Rattus norvegicus: one gene and its partners. The protein of the gene in region 3 interacts with the protein of the main gene of each other region in a pairwise test. Links are inferred from orthologs where the notes say so. Each region holds a gene or a part of one and is shown on either strand. Other genes may lie near its edges. The genes, in order: Syt6, Gem and Kctd9.

Region 1 (4,776 bases), on a different chromosome or scaffold from region 3:
AGGCACAGGTCAGCTTGGGTTCGCTTTCAGGCTCCGGCACATTCTAGAACACGATTAGATTTCTACTGCAACTTGGACTGCACATAGAGTTCATTCACCTCCACAAGAAAAATGGCAGGAGAGGCCTGCTGGTGACCGTTTGCATGTATGGGCCTCTGGGGAGTAGTACATCAGGAAGAAAGCAGGCGTTTTATCCTTGGGGTTTTCAGAGAAGGGGGTGTGCTTTTAGTTGGGAGGTTTTAGCACAGATGTTTCCGAGTCAGAGTCCAATTCATGGAGATTTCTGATGCAGTTCCTTGCCCAGACCTGACCTGTGGGCAGGTTCACACAAACGGTAGTGGAATCTGAGTCTTGACTGTTGGAGTTTGGGGTATCACTGGGAATCCCAGGAGCTAGAGGCATAAGAGCCGCAGAAGGCAAGGAGAGGAGACGAGATGGGAAAGGAGCTGATCATACTCTCCCCGCGTGCATTACCTTTCTCATACAAGTGCAGAAGAAAAGATCTAACGTTGCTTTGCTTGGAGGATCGGATCCTAGATGGAGTCTTTGGGGTGCAAGGAGCAGGCTGGGAGGTGGGAGGTCTGGCACCCTGATGTGAACACCACATTCCTCTAGATATAGAGCTCACCTAAATCCCCAAAGTTCCAGAGCCATTTTCTTGTGGTGTGATCCAGTTCTCTGTCTACCTGCGTCTCTCGTTCTACCTTGGCCCTAGGATTTCTTGGGGGTTGTGACGGATGCAGTAACCATGTGAAGGCTCCCCTGAGCCAGGGTGGGTATACGACTCAATCACACTCTGAAGGCATCTGGTAGCCTGCCTCACTCTCCTCAGCCGTGCTGCTCAGGTTAAAGGAATCCTTCTGGAGTCAGACTGCCAGCATCTCCTGCCTACATGTACTCACAGCACACACACCCCACCCTAAACCACATTTCTTGCCTTGGACAGATAGTAGGGCAGAACTCCAAAGATGTGTGCTGGCCTCCGTATTCTGAGCTGTCAGGCCCAGGGGGAAGACTCTACTGCAGATGGAGCATTTGAGGAAAAGACGGAGCTCAGGAATGGGGGAGGTAGGGAGTGACTGTTTGACTTGAGGGAATTGCTGTCTTGGAAGCATCATGGTGTAGAAAGAGATACACCAGAGGACCCGCGTCTAATGTCAGTCTAATCTGCTCTGAGATTCCCGAAGAGGCAGAGCCAACTTTTATCACTGTCCCACTCTCAAAAGTTCTTTATGTCTAATCTTGGTCTCTTCTACTGCAGTCGTCAATTCATTGATTAAACAGTGTCAGAGACTGCCAGAGAGAGAGCAGCATCCCTAATGACTCCTACAGAAGAGAGGTGGGCCCCACTCACAGAAGGCTAGGTACAGCCTCCCCTATCCTCTCTATCTCCTCCCTCACAGCCTCTATTCCTAACCCAGAATCTCCCTCTATCGTTGACCTTTAACCTCCAATGGAAAAGGCGCTCTGGAATCCGAGGCCACTGGGAGCTCACCCGACCTGCACCTGCTACCGGGTACCACTTCTCTGGTCTCTGGCAACTTGTCCCTGGAGAGGTGCGGGAAGACCACGTATCTGACCTTAACGGCCCCCACCTCTCTCTCCCTCCCCAGCCATATGGAACCACGAAGCGACTCCCATTTAAGCCTAGGCCAAGAGCCACTAGGGTCCCGGTCGGGGTCTCGGTCGAGGACAAGGTGTGGTGAGTCTGCGGAACCCCAGAGAACTCCAACGCCTGGGTCTCTGCAGGATCTCCCCACCCCCAACGCCGCATTCGCTCCGGGCCGCGGGCTGACCCTGGGCCCTTCCTTCCGAGGGGACACGACCCATACTTGCTCTGTCCCGTACCCTCCTAATTGCGGGACAAAGGATCCCGCTGCAGCAGGAGAGCTTGGCGGCAAAGACTGGTGCAGCAGGTACATACCCGGCCGGTCGGCTGCCACGCCGCGGACACTCCCGCGGCTCCCGCCGCCAGGGCGCGACACGCCACCCCTGTTGTCGCGACTCCCGCGAGACGTCGCGGCTGCACGCAGGACCCGTTCCCCGAGGGGCTCGGGCTCAGGACTCACCGGCTCCGGTGAGCTCGACTCGGCTCGGGCTGCCGCCTAGACTTGGCGGCCGCCGGGGCTGCGGCCGGCGCAGGGTCCGTGCGGCCGGGGCAGGAGGTTCCCGCCTGGCAAAGTCGGTGAGAGGCACCGGCTCAGTTGAACACCGGCCCGGAGTCCGAGTGAGTCAGAGAGAGACCGAGGAAGCGAGTTATAGGGGTGCCTGGGGGTGGGGGGTACGCCACGACACTCTTCCCACCCCGCCCCCCGCCCCCCGGCGAGACGCAGACAGCCACTCGCTGCTGAGAGACCTGGACACAAAGACCGCGTGCCAGCTGCAGACGCAAGTTTTTCCCATGCCCAGTGGTTCGACCAGCCGTCACCCAGTCACTGATGGTCCCTAGACCCTGGGCCGCCCCCACCCCCACCCCGGGAACACAGGCTTTCCTCCGTGCCCAGGACGTCTCCATTTCTCCCCGACCCTGGCCAATCGCTCCTGGGATGAGCCTAGAGACACAAGGGAAACTGAGGCCCCAAGGATGCCGCATCTCGGGGCTCTCGTAATTAGTGACCCGGGAGGAGAAGGGTCCTCTTGGGATCTCTCCCTGCGGGCGGTAAGCCAGGGGACTGGCCCAGACTGGAACTCTGAGCTAGACTTCTGAGGTTCTGGGGCGCTTGGGCAGGTGTCTTGGTCAGGGGAGGCCACCCAGATGAAAACCCAGGAGTGGAGGGGGCCCTGGGTCTCCCGGTACCTGAGTCGGCCGCGCTTGGACTCTGCTCCGGGGGCTGCAGCTCGAAGCTCTGACAAGTCTCCACGTCCAGCCCGAGAGGGGGCGGCCGGGCCCGGCACAGAGAGGCCAGGACCGCGAGCGCCGCCTGGCACCGAGGCCCTCCGGCCCCCCAAACTCCGCTCATGCCCCGGATCCTCAGGGCTGCGGAGCAGTGACTCGAACTCTAGCCGCGGCCGGACTGGGGCGGGGCAAGGAGGCCCCCAAAAGACCCTCCCCGCGGCGGCCCCCTGAGGCTCGGCTCTGCTTTTAATCACTTCCCCGCAGGGTCCCCGCCCCTCACGTGGCATCCCGCGGCAGCTGGCAAGTCTGGCGCCTCACGGCCGCCCCCTCCACACTCAGGGACTTGCCTAAGTCCAGGCAGGTTCCAACCCCGCTGTCCCACACCTTGCAGTATCAATGCCAGTGGTGCCATCACTGAGGGTGTGACCTTGGGCCTTTCTGGGGCTCAGTTTTCCTTTTCGTAAAGGAGGTGTAATGATTACTGGTGCTCTGTGAGCTTCCTCGGAATACATAGGTAGTGCTTGTGAAAACCTTGGGGAAACTGCCACATGCCACCCAAGTGGGCATCACAATAACAACATGAAAAGGGGCGGCCCGACTGTACGGCGGGAGGACCTTGTAAAGATAGTTGACTGGAGAAGTTAGCCAGACTTTCCGGATCTCGGCTTCGGAGATATAAGACCCCAAGACCGCGGAGCAAGGGGAACTGTAAAGAAGACTTTCAGAGCCCCACAATCTTGCGGTCCGAGGCACCCTCACGTTGCTATGGTGACTGGAGGCAGCGGCCGTCTCTCTCCATGGCAACTGGAGGAGAAAGTTTCTGGCGAATAGGAGTGGGGAGCATTTCAGAAAGGGGTTCGGTTCCCACCAAACCCACCTCCATGCATCAGACCAAACCCAGAATAATTTATTTTTCTATGAGGCATATATAACAAGAGTCAAAAAGAAGGAAAACTAAATAGGAGGCTAGACTGTAAAAGGAGCTTCCCTCAATAACTGTGAAGTGAGACTCAGAAGCAGGGTGACTGTTAGTTTCGCGATGCTTCAACCAGGCCTGGAAATCTAGGAGCCATTGCTAACTGCCAGGAGAATGAGCCCTGTCCTATCAGAGGAAACTCCCACCCTCCACCTACCATCATTGTGTCGCCTTCCCGAAGTAGGATCTGGGAAAGAAACTTCAGCCTGAGTCCCTACATCTGCAGCTACCGAGCTGGAGTGTGCAAGTGAAAGTGGTCTGGGAGAAGGGTCTTTCCTCCCAATGCACGCTAATCCGAGGTACCCTCAGAAGTGACTCAAGTTCCGAAGAGAGGAGATTCGGAGCGGCAGCTCCAGGCGATCACCATTCGCACCATCTGTACCAGCCTAATCCACTGGCCCTTATTGTTGCAAGCCCGAGACAGCCAGTGTCCAGGGTAGTAAGGGAAAGGTCTCACTCAACCTGAGGGACCTCTGGCCTGGGCTCGGAGGCTTTCGGGCTCCTGACCAGCGCGTGTCCCTGTCCGCGGTGCTGAAGGTTCGGTTGGTACAATCAGCTCGTGCGCACTGTGTTAGGGGATAATGGGGACGGGCTATTAAAGCCGGTTCACAGCTTCCACCCGGGTCCCTAGAGCCTGCCATAGGGAAGTGTGGGATCTCGAGCGGGAAGGATTGAAGAAGGCTTGATCCACGACCCTGTATAATCTGGACCACCTTCCAGCCAGTGGTGCTGGGTTGCTATTCCAACAACAGGTAAACTTCTGCCTCTCCACTTGCCTTCCACCCACCTGAGGAACCCAGAAGCCCGAAATCCTCCCCTCTAGCGCCAATGTAGATCTCAGCCGGAGGAGAGATCGGAGTTCCGAGGCCCCAGGCAACACTCTCATTAGCAGCTTCCCAAGCGGGGGTTTTGTGTTTATGTAAAACACAAATGAGGAGCTGCTCTCTGCTGGTGTTTATGGCAA
Region 2 (4,676 bases), on a different chromosome or scaffold from region 3:
AACAGACATTTTTCTCAGTAAGAAATATGCTCATAAATAGGCTTTATCAAAGGTTAAAATGGTTATTTGCAAAATAATAATAAATATAATTCGGCTGTGGCGTACAAGGAGCAACCCAAAGGATGGGGCATCTTTATGTTTGGGGGGGAAAAGCAGGCTTCTGACTATATTTAAAATTTTGCACTCCAAGTTATCAATATAGTTGAGATTTTTTTAAAAAAATATTTTATGACAGCTTCATGATTTCAAAAAAAAGACATAAAAGATGATTTGACTAAGTAGGATCTGGCAAAAAAAAAATAGTTTCCTCAAAATAAACACTTCTAAGACACATAAGTAAACAATTTTTTGAACCTATAAGTGGTACACGCATATCAGCGTCTAAGTCTAGGAATCTCTGTGGTCTTTAAACAAAAACTGTCAGTAAGCCTCAGTTTCTAGCAAATTCTAACAATTCTCTCCACAGTTCGATAGAGCAGTAAAAACTGCAAGGAGGCCAGTTCCGCAGCTGCAGTTCCAGGAGTATAAGTTTGCAGAGAGCCCTTCTCCTTCCAATAAACACCATTTTCCTACATTTCTTTATGACCCAAGGACCTCAGATTCACACAGAACACTGAGCAAAACTTCAATGATGAAACACTTCTGTCCTAGGCATTCTTCACAAGATTCAATATTCTGCTGCCCAAAGGAGAGAAAAACTCGTGTGAACCCCAAACGTGCCCTTAAGTGAGTCTGGGGCATCCATCTAGCATAGCAGGTCAAGCTTTTCCTACAAATAAATACTGACTCTCGACAGAGATCTTTCGCCACCCATGCACTTGGTTGCCCATGAGGCTAACCTCTTGGTTCCCATCTGTAGTAGGGGAAGCCGCGTCTTAACAATGCTTCTGTATCCAATCTAATATAGATCACTGGTCCCAAAAGCCTTCAACGACGTCCATCAAGGGGACATCTGGACGACACTGGGTGCCTAGAGCACAGACAGGTCATGGCAGGATTTTGACTTGAGCTTGAAAGCCATGTTCTTGTTGTTTTTGGCTACAATTTTGCCCCAGAAGCGTCTGGCTTTCCTGGGGATACTCTCCCGCCTCTTCTGGTAGGCCAGCCTCCTCTCGTTCTTTTCCTTGCTGTCCCGACGCAGACGGACCTGCCGCACAATGCCCTCAAACAGTTCCTTCACGTTGTGCTGCACGGCTGCAGAGGTCTCGATGAATTTGCAGTCGAACACCACGGCACAAGCTCTCCCTTCTAGAAAGGAAAGGGAGAGAAGTGAGTCAAGGGTCATAGGGTATGGCCACGCTGGAGACCACCGCTCGAAAACTGTCCTAGGGGTAGCATGGGGCAGTAGGCTACATTACAGGTAGAAGGACGCACAACAGCATGCACCCTCCTGGGTCTGAATAGAAATAGCCCATAAGAGGATTCCAGGAAGCCGGCTAGAACCGGCTCACCACAAACTCACGATGTGAAAGTCCAGTTCCATCAAAACCCAGGCTAAGCTCTTTCCAAACACTTTTCACTGCTCATAACAGTCTTGAAAATCATACCCTCATTCTTACCAGATAGAGGAAGAAACTGAGTGTGTGTTTAAAAAAAAAATGAAAGAACTCATACAGCCAACAAGGACAGGAAACTCAGCCCTGCTTCCTATACACTTTCTCCTGATTCAGTTTCCGTCCCTAAAAACTGTGATTCTAACTCTACTATGTAGCTTTCCTATCTTTTGAAAAATGTGATTAAATGATATATTTTTAGGGAAAATGATTGTGTAAAAATATAATACAGCTACATCGAACTGTCCAAGCTTTTCTAACACTCTCAATTTCAGATACTCCATGGTGTTTAATGTCCACATGTCCGTGTTTTAGTTTGAAAAGATGTGAACCCTGAACACTGTTGCGTCCTAGTAAGACATTCCCACCAGTTGGGAACAGTGCCTTGACTGAGTAGAGACTGAAAATGCCATATTTTACTTTTTTTACAGTTGTACTAAATCTACACTGACCCAATACAATCTCGAAGCCCCCCCCCCAAAAAAAAGAATATGGAGGCCTACTCATCAAATAGAAATTATACTTGAACTAAGGACCAAGAAGCATGTGTGGTCCCGTCAGTCCGATGTCCTCACAGAAGTTTACAAAGTAGTGGGCGGCGTTAGAGAGTATTAAATGGAATGCCAACAGCTGTTTCTCTGGAAACTCTCTCTTCTGAGTCTCCTAATCCAGAGTTCCTCTCCTTGCATTCAGATATGGCTTTTCCTCCCCTGAACTTGGGATCTGCTTGGAGAACAGGAGGATGAGCAAAGGCTAAAACTGTCAGGAAATTCCTGAGGATGCTCTCCTCTCTAAAGTAATTCCGGGAGTACACCTAAGGGGGATTGGGTACCCTGGACCTTCAGGATACCCAGAGGATACAGAGAACAACACATGACTGATACAAACAATGAGAACCATGAGAGTCTTAGCCAATACACATTAAGCTTCACGGAGCACCCCACTGAGGCCCTGGTTGCAGCCTTGCAGGGGATGAGGAAGAGAACCTGCTAGTGGGCCGATGTGTGCTGTGCAGGGGTGGACCCCATATCACACACCCTCTCACCTGACACAGACACTTCTCGACACCGCACTAAGTCGCTTTTGTTGCCAACCAAAATTATAGGAATGTCTTCTGTCTGCCGGGCCCTGCGGAGCTGGATCCTCAGCTCAGACGCCTTCTCAAAGCTCGCCCGGTCTGTGATGGAGTAGACGATCAGGTAGGCGTCCCCGACCTGCATGCAGTGGTCGTGGAGCCATTCATTCTCCCCCTAATCAAATAAAAAGACCTTCCATGAACTCGGGCTAGCCTAAAAGTTGAGGTGCCATATTGCAAAGAAATCGTATGTCTATCCCAAGTAAGAGAAAACAAGAAAACTGCTTCCAACACCCCAAAAGGCATTGGCCTTCCAGGATGCCTAGAGATGCAAAGAAAGGCAGTCTGTACTGTTTTTATAGCAAACAGCTTACTTTCCAGTTACTACTACAGCTTGGGCTGATATAATACAAAAGTACTTTGACAAACAGTATTCCCAATCCCAATCTAAGTCGCCAAGAACCAGCCTTTTCTGACTCCCTGGAGTCCTCCTAATTAAGAATATTTTTGTGGGAATAGGAAGGTTCTCAATAAACAATGATCTTTCATATTTGCTGGGAGACCCAAAACCTGTCAAAAGCCATGTTGGAATCCAGGATTGAGAAAGCCAACTTTTCACAAGGTGGTTCTGTGTCATTGAAAATAAGTGGCCATGCTTGTTTGAACTTTCCCTAAAACAAATATGCCTCTTGTGGTTTTTAATAGAACTCGGGGGAAAAAACCACTGCAATTTGTTTGTTCTTCAGGGTTCATCTGTGAACGACCTGTTCCCCAGCACAGTCTCGTTCTTCAGAAGTAAATGCTTTCAATCAAGGAAATGAGCCCTCCTTGTCTGGAACATCTACTATGTAGGACAAGGTCACTCTGGCACCAAGCAGCCTGTTGAAAGGCAAGCCCTAAAGGAATGCACAGACAGCTACAGGCTCTGCATACCTTATTTTCCCACATGTCCAGTAGGATAATGGTTGCACTCTCTCCATCAACGACCAGGGTACGCTCATATGTATCTTCTAGAAAAGAGAGATTTGATATCAGTCCGGTGGATAAGAGATAATTCGGCATGAGAGGTTCCTGTTGACTTTACTCTAGAATTTATACTCCAGGAGACTAGGGATGCAGCTCGGTCAGTGAGTGCTTAGTACAAGCACAAGAACCTGAGTTCAGTCCTCAAGAATCCATGTGAAAAGCCACGCATTGTGGAAGGCAACTGGAAATCCTTGTTTTGGGGAGGGAGAAACAGGCAGATAGATCCCTAAGGTTCAATGACAGCCCAGCCTAGCCGACAGTCTCTGTCTCCCAAAACAAGACTCATGTCTATGGAAGAACAATACCCAAGACTGACATCTAGAACCCAAATGCACATGCACACATATCCACACATATGTGCCCCCACATGAGCGTATACATACACACCTACAGAGGTGGGGTTAGATAGAGACAGAATCAACTTCAAAGAGCTGGGAACATGGTTCAGTGACCTCTAGTCTCTCTGTGTATACACACACACACACACACACACACACACACACACACACACACACACACACAATTGTTCCCCTTCAATATGCAGCACGCAGTCCTCCAGTCACTAAGCAGACTTCCCACAGCTCTTGTGGAAGGCTCAATAGCTCGAGTTAAAAGGGAATCATTTTCATCATTCTTGGGCCTTTTATGGAGGAAAGCCATTTATAAGGATAAATAAACTCCCTAAGACCTTTTGACTCCAGTTCAACGGCTGAAGCTATGAGAAAGCATTAACCATAAGCTGCATTATGGGATGTTTTAACTATAAGCCCTATTTCCATAATCTTTATGGGAGCTCCACTGTGTTCCAGTTGGGGGTGGGGCAGGCCTGAACACACACTGGAAACTTCATAAACTCTGAGCTCAGTGATGTTTCTCCTCTTTGCAGAAGCACAAGAAAAAATATTTTGAGGTGGTCCCTAACTGGACCATTATTTTCTTTAACTCTCCGCCCCATTTCCTTTGTTGTGTTGAAATGGATTCTTGCTAGTAGCCCTGGCCAGCCTAGAACTCAGGACACAATC
Region 3 (4,776 bases):
AAAGAGCCAGCTTCCTCCTGGGATCCCTCATCTTTGCCTTCAGGGCCTGGAATTCCTGGTGGACTGCCATATCTACCCAACATTTGCTTTTTAGGGTCCCAATTCTGATCCTCACACTTGCTCCTGAGCCATCTCCCTAATCCAAAAAATTTTTAAAAACTAAGGAAAAAAAAAATCTAAGACCTTTGACTGCATGCATAGGAAAATACTCTTTTCATGTCTTGGTCATGTCATGATGAGGATGATCTCATCATATCGCCGGTTAATAGTTCAAAGAACAATATACCCTAAGGAAGAAGTTGACTATAGCAGTTATTAAGCAAAGAGTTTCTTAAAACATGGCACTCTTTGGCTTCTGAGAGCCTTTTAGTTTTTTAACTTTACAGCTGATGCTAGGAAAAGCAGCCAGTTTTGCTACTTTCCCAATGTTTACTGTGCTTGCTAATTAATACTGGTTTCAATCTGCAGATTCTTTTAGGTTTTAAAGTCACTTGGCACTTAGCTGATGGCTAATCCCATTAATACTGTGTGATGTAAATCTCTGTAATGTACTTATAGGCTTCTATACATCCTATGTCAAAGAGAACCAACTGGTAAATGAACTGTTGGCTACCAGTCTATTTACATATGAAGACCTGTGTTCTGGAAGAAAACAAGACCAGCTTGACAGGTTCAGGAAGTAGAGGCTCCCATGCTTTTCCAGATTAGAAAAAGCAAGGTTTTTTTTAAATTATTTTGTTTTCAAATAAAAATATAAATAACATGCACCCCTTCCTAAACCCCCAAGGATCATCTTATATCTTCCATGTACTTCTTTTCACTTAGAAAAAAATTGGCTGTTTCATCAACATTAAAAGCACTATTCAGGGGTTGGGGATTTAGCTCAGTGGTCTTGCGCAAGACCTTGGGTTCGGTCCCCAGCTCTGAAAAAAAGAAAAAAGAAAAAAAAAAGCACTATTCAGTTACACAAATCAAAAATGCATGTTGATATCTTGATGCCTGGTGAAGAAACTGTGCCTTTCTACATCACAGCCCATGCATGGCCTAATAGCCACAAAGCAAGCTGTAAGAAGGAGATGCAGTCAAACAAAATTCTCATGACTAGGGGATTAAAAATAGACACCAGGTAAGCAAGGAGACAATCTAAATGATATATTCTACCTTACAAACAGGAAAGCAAACTATTTCAGAGTAGCACTTCCTTTGGGAACATTTTAATGTGCATCCACATCAAGTTTACAACAATCCTGACTAAATACAGTGACTATGATTTCACTAAATAGCCACATACATAAATGCAGGTGGTATGTATGTATTGTGATCTTTTCAAATAAGAGTCATTTTAATATTTTCCCATCAGCTGAAAGGACAGGAAATAGCTTTGGAACATATTCTATAGCTTAGGATATTAGCATTTAAATATTAAATGTTAATATTTTTTATTTCAATCTTAGGATCATTGTAAACCATAAGTACCCATAATCATTTGAGATGCACTTTCTCCAATCTTCTGAGTCTCAACATTTTTCAAGTAAATAATACTAACCTGGAAACTCATAGTCAAAGTTTTAACTTTTTAGAAGTTTTAAAAAAATTTAAAAATACACCAAGAGCAACTCCCTTAATTTTTGGACAATAGCATTCTGTGAATTCAGAAGAGATTTAGAGAAGAGCTGAAGACTTATAGGAACCCTAATCGCTTTGACTTCATGGAGTCACACAACAGAGTTGACACTGGTGAAAGTGCATATCAATACAACTGGCAACACTAAATCTTTCAATAAAAAACGACACAGACTACTAGCCAACTCCAGAGTTGGTTAAGGAAGAGTTAACGATCAGAACTGACAGCTTTTCAGCATGTATTTCTGAAGCACTGTTGAGCTAATGTGAACACTATTTTTGTGTGAATATCAAATCTTTTAGGAAACTAAAATCAGAGCACAAACCCCACTGTGGATCAGATTTCCAGAATCTGTTTATTCAAAACTGCAGAATGGTTGAAAAACTCCGCCCCCCCCAACCCCCAACTTTAATGCCTTTGAATAGTTCTGCTGTGTATACGTAGGGGAATCAGAGTACTCTGGCCGATGTACCTTGAACTGAAACTTTAAAAAGGTTCATTATTTTTGAGACTTTAAACAGGCTTAGTTAATGTGTGGGGCAATCATTTAACCACACATTACTAGTCCGCCAGAAACAGCCAATATTTTCCAAAGAATAACTTTCAAGGGTGGGGCAAGAGGCAGCTGCAACATCGGAAAAATATTTAGCACCACGCCCTCCACGGAGGCCTAAATGCAGCTAAGGCTACTGTCAAATCAAGTCATTCCGAAAGTCTGCTGTCATCATCCTTTAAGGAACCAAAACAAGGCGACACAATAAAACGTGTATAAAAGTTTGCACAGTGGTGGGGCAAGGGGCCCGGGGCACCCTGAGAGATGAGGAAAGCGGTCCAGACCAGGTCCTCATTCTGAGGATGTCACTCGACTGTCCCCTGGAGTTTCCTTCTCCCGACCTGGCCAGGGTCACTCGCCTCTGTGATCACTGCCTCCTCCCCAGGCTGAGCATTACTCAGCACGGATAAGGACTGGAGGGCGCAGCGGGAAGATGGGAGGGGACCTCGGCCAGCTGCTCAGGTGACAGCGGCGCCTCGGAGCTCCGGTGGCCGAGCTGCCCGGGGCTGTCGGAGGCTGCGGGGGTCCCCGGGTCGCGCCCCCGCTGCCGCTTACCTTGCCGTTCCTCGGGCTGCCGTTCAAGAACAGCGTGACCCGCCGCATCGCTCCGCCCGCGCCGGGTCCTGAGGGAGCCGCCACCCTCTCTCCCGGCCCGCCACCCGCCGCGCTCCGCGCCCGCGAGACCCCTCCCGCCTCCCACCCGGACTCTCCGCCCTTCGCCACCTTCCTGGTCGGCCCCACACTCCTCACGCACGCACCCTCTGTCCCACACCCCAGGGTTGGCCGATCCTCCTTCCCACCCCGCCCCTAGGCTCCTCAGCCTGCTAGCGGCCCTTCCCCCAACCGCGCGCCCAGATTGACACTGACCTGCGCCAATCAACGGACCGCACTGGCCAGCATTAAGCCAATCAGCGTTCGGTTGGAGGGTGGGCTCAGAGTAATACTAGACGGCGGTGAAAGGAAAGAGAGGCTGAAAGCTGGTTGACGGAAAGGAGTATCTGCGAATCAGAACAGAAGCTACTGGCAAAGGGCCGCTCTAAGCGTTACTGAGCAGGCGCACGTCGGAGTGTAGGAGTGCTTATTTGCATAAAGAGAAGGAAGAGGCGGGACGCCAAAGTCCCATATACCAGTCAACTCCTCGCTGGGCTTTAGCTCCTCCTACTACACCCACCCACCGAGGTAACGGTTGGTATCTGGATTGGCTAATAGAGTAAACTATCCGGCGGTTCTGTCACGATTGGTCAGGTGATTCATTTTCGAAGTTTCCAGCAGCCAATCCAAGGTTAGAGGCGGGATTTGTTCGCAACTGAAGTATTGCTCCGCGGAACTCACCGGTAGTCCCCAGTACACCTTTTTGCCTCAGCTTCGTCTCTCCAGGGTCATTTCATGGCTGTCTGTGATTCTTCCGGAACACACAGAGTCTCCCTGCTCCGTCCGAGAGCACGAGAGTAAGGTCTGGAGGGAGCGGGATGCACACACACGTGGGCCACCGTTCCGCAAGATCCCTCCGCGGGGGCGTGGCCGCGGTTTGAATTTGCTGGCGGGCAAGCGGAGCTTGATCGCCTCCTCCGGACGTGGTGTGTCCAGGTGTGCAGCGACCTGCAGGAAGCCCTCCCGGTTCTTCCCGGGCCTCTGGTGCTCTCTGAAACGGAGCCTCCGCGACGCTTGTCGTAGTCGTCTGAGGGAACGCGCGGGGCCCGGGCGGGAGAGGTAGGCTTGCTATGCGTCCGGGGTTCAGGGATGCAAAGCCGGGACAAATCATTTCGGTCCGCTTTGTTTAGTCAATACTACCTCCCGCCGTTTCTTTAATCAGAACGTTCCAGCTTGTATTCCCGTGGTATTAATTGCGTTAGAGTTCCGTCGCATTCTTTTTGGCTTGTAGTGAGATTTTTTACATTTTATTCTTTAACTTCCTCATCTTCCAGATGGATACGAGTTCACACAACAAGCCTCTCTCTGAATCCAAGGAGTGTGTCCGTCATAATTCTGGTATGTGGTGACCTGTTGCCCTCGTTAAGTGGAAGGTTTGAGTGTTTTAATGTATTGTTTAACCCTCCAACGTGTTTTCCGTTTTCAGAAAATGACTTTTTTATCTTGGGTACCGGGCCGCTTGTGACCCCTCAGAAGCATGCAGCAGACATGACTCCTAATCTTTGCACCCCTGATACCTTTAAGTCACCTTTGGACTTCTCCACAGTAACCGTAGAGCAGTTGGGAATTACACCTGAAAGCTTTGTTAAGACCCCTTCAGGTAAGAGAAGCTCTTGTATAGTTTTTCAAGTTTAACAATAACTCTAGTAGTCCTGAATTATACATGTTATACTGTCTGACTCTTTCTGTGTGTATTTATACTGACCATGCAGACTTGCTTGTTTGGGGAGACTTTTCAGCAAATATAGCAGGGATCAAAAAGTCCTAGGGCTTCCAATATGACACAGTTTCTGAATCAGTTGTGCTTTGTGCCCACCAGTGTATTTCAAAATCAGAGGAAGTTGAAAGGCAGTTAAGAAAGTTAAAAGGGACAAGGCTTTGTGCCTCGTTCAAAAATCCCAAACAGAAAGACCCAGATATTGGTTTTCTTCAACCTCAGGAATGAAAT

The links.
Region 1: the proteins of Kctd9 (region 3) and Syt6 interact in binary tests that used the Homo sapiens proteins (3 or more experiments, as listed by UniProt). The two-hybrid records come from large-scale screens. The link is inferred for Rattus norvegicus from reciprocal best matches to the Homo sapiens genes KCTD9 and SYT6.
Region 2: the proteins of Kctd9 (region 3) and Gem interact in binary tests that used the Homo sapiens proteins (3 or more experiments, as listed by UniProt). The two-hybrid records come from large-scale screens. The link is inferred for Rattus norvegicus from reciprocal best matches to the Homo sapiens genes KCTD9 and GEM.

The regions. Positions count from the first base shown.
Region 1 is NC_086020.1:193,779,807-193,784,582, reverse strand, and holds the start of Syt6 (synaptotagmin-6), read right to left. Parts: upstream 3,108-4,776; 5' UTR 2,961-3,107; coding exon 2,798-2,960; intron 2,433-2,797; exon of another isoform or gene 1,925-2,432; intron 1,821-1,924; exon of another isoform or gene 1-1,820.
Region 2 is NC_086023.1:30,017,790-30,022,465, reverse strand, and holds part of Gem (GTP-binding protein GEM), read right to left. Parts: intron 3,639-4,676; coding exon 3,562-3,638; intron 2,804-3,561; coding exon 2,599-2,803; intron 1,249-2,598; coding exon 971-1,248; 3' UTR 1-970. UniProt on the Homo sapiens protein: Could be a regulatory protein, possibly participating in receptor-mediated signal transduction at the plasma membrane. Has guanine nucleotide-binding activity but undetectable intrinsic GTPase activity.
Region 3 is NC_086033.1:46,115,966-46,120,741, reverse strand, and holds the start of Kctd9 (BTB/POZ domain-containing protein KCTD9), read right to left. Parts: upstream 2,856-4,776; 5' UTR 2,781-2,855; coding exon 2,733-2,780; intron 2,468-2,732; exon of another isoform or gene 1-2,467. Other genes in the region: Cdca2 (cell division cycle-associated protein 2), read left to right, coding at 4,103-4,166, 4,255-4,428. UniProt on the Homo sapiens protein: Substrate-specific adapter of a BCR (BTB-CUL3-RBX1) E3 ubiquitin-protein ligase complex, which mediates the ubiquitination of target proteins, leading to their degradation by the proteasome.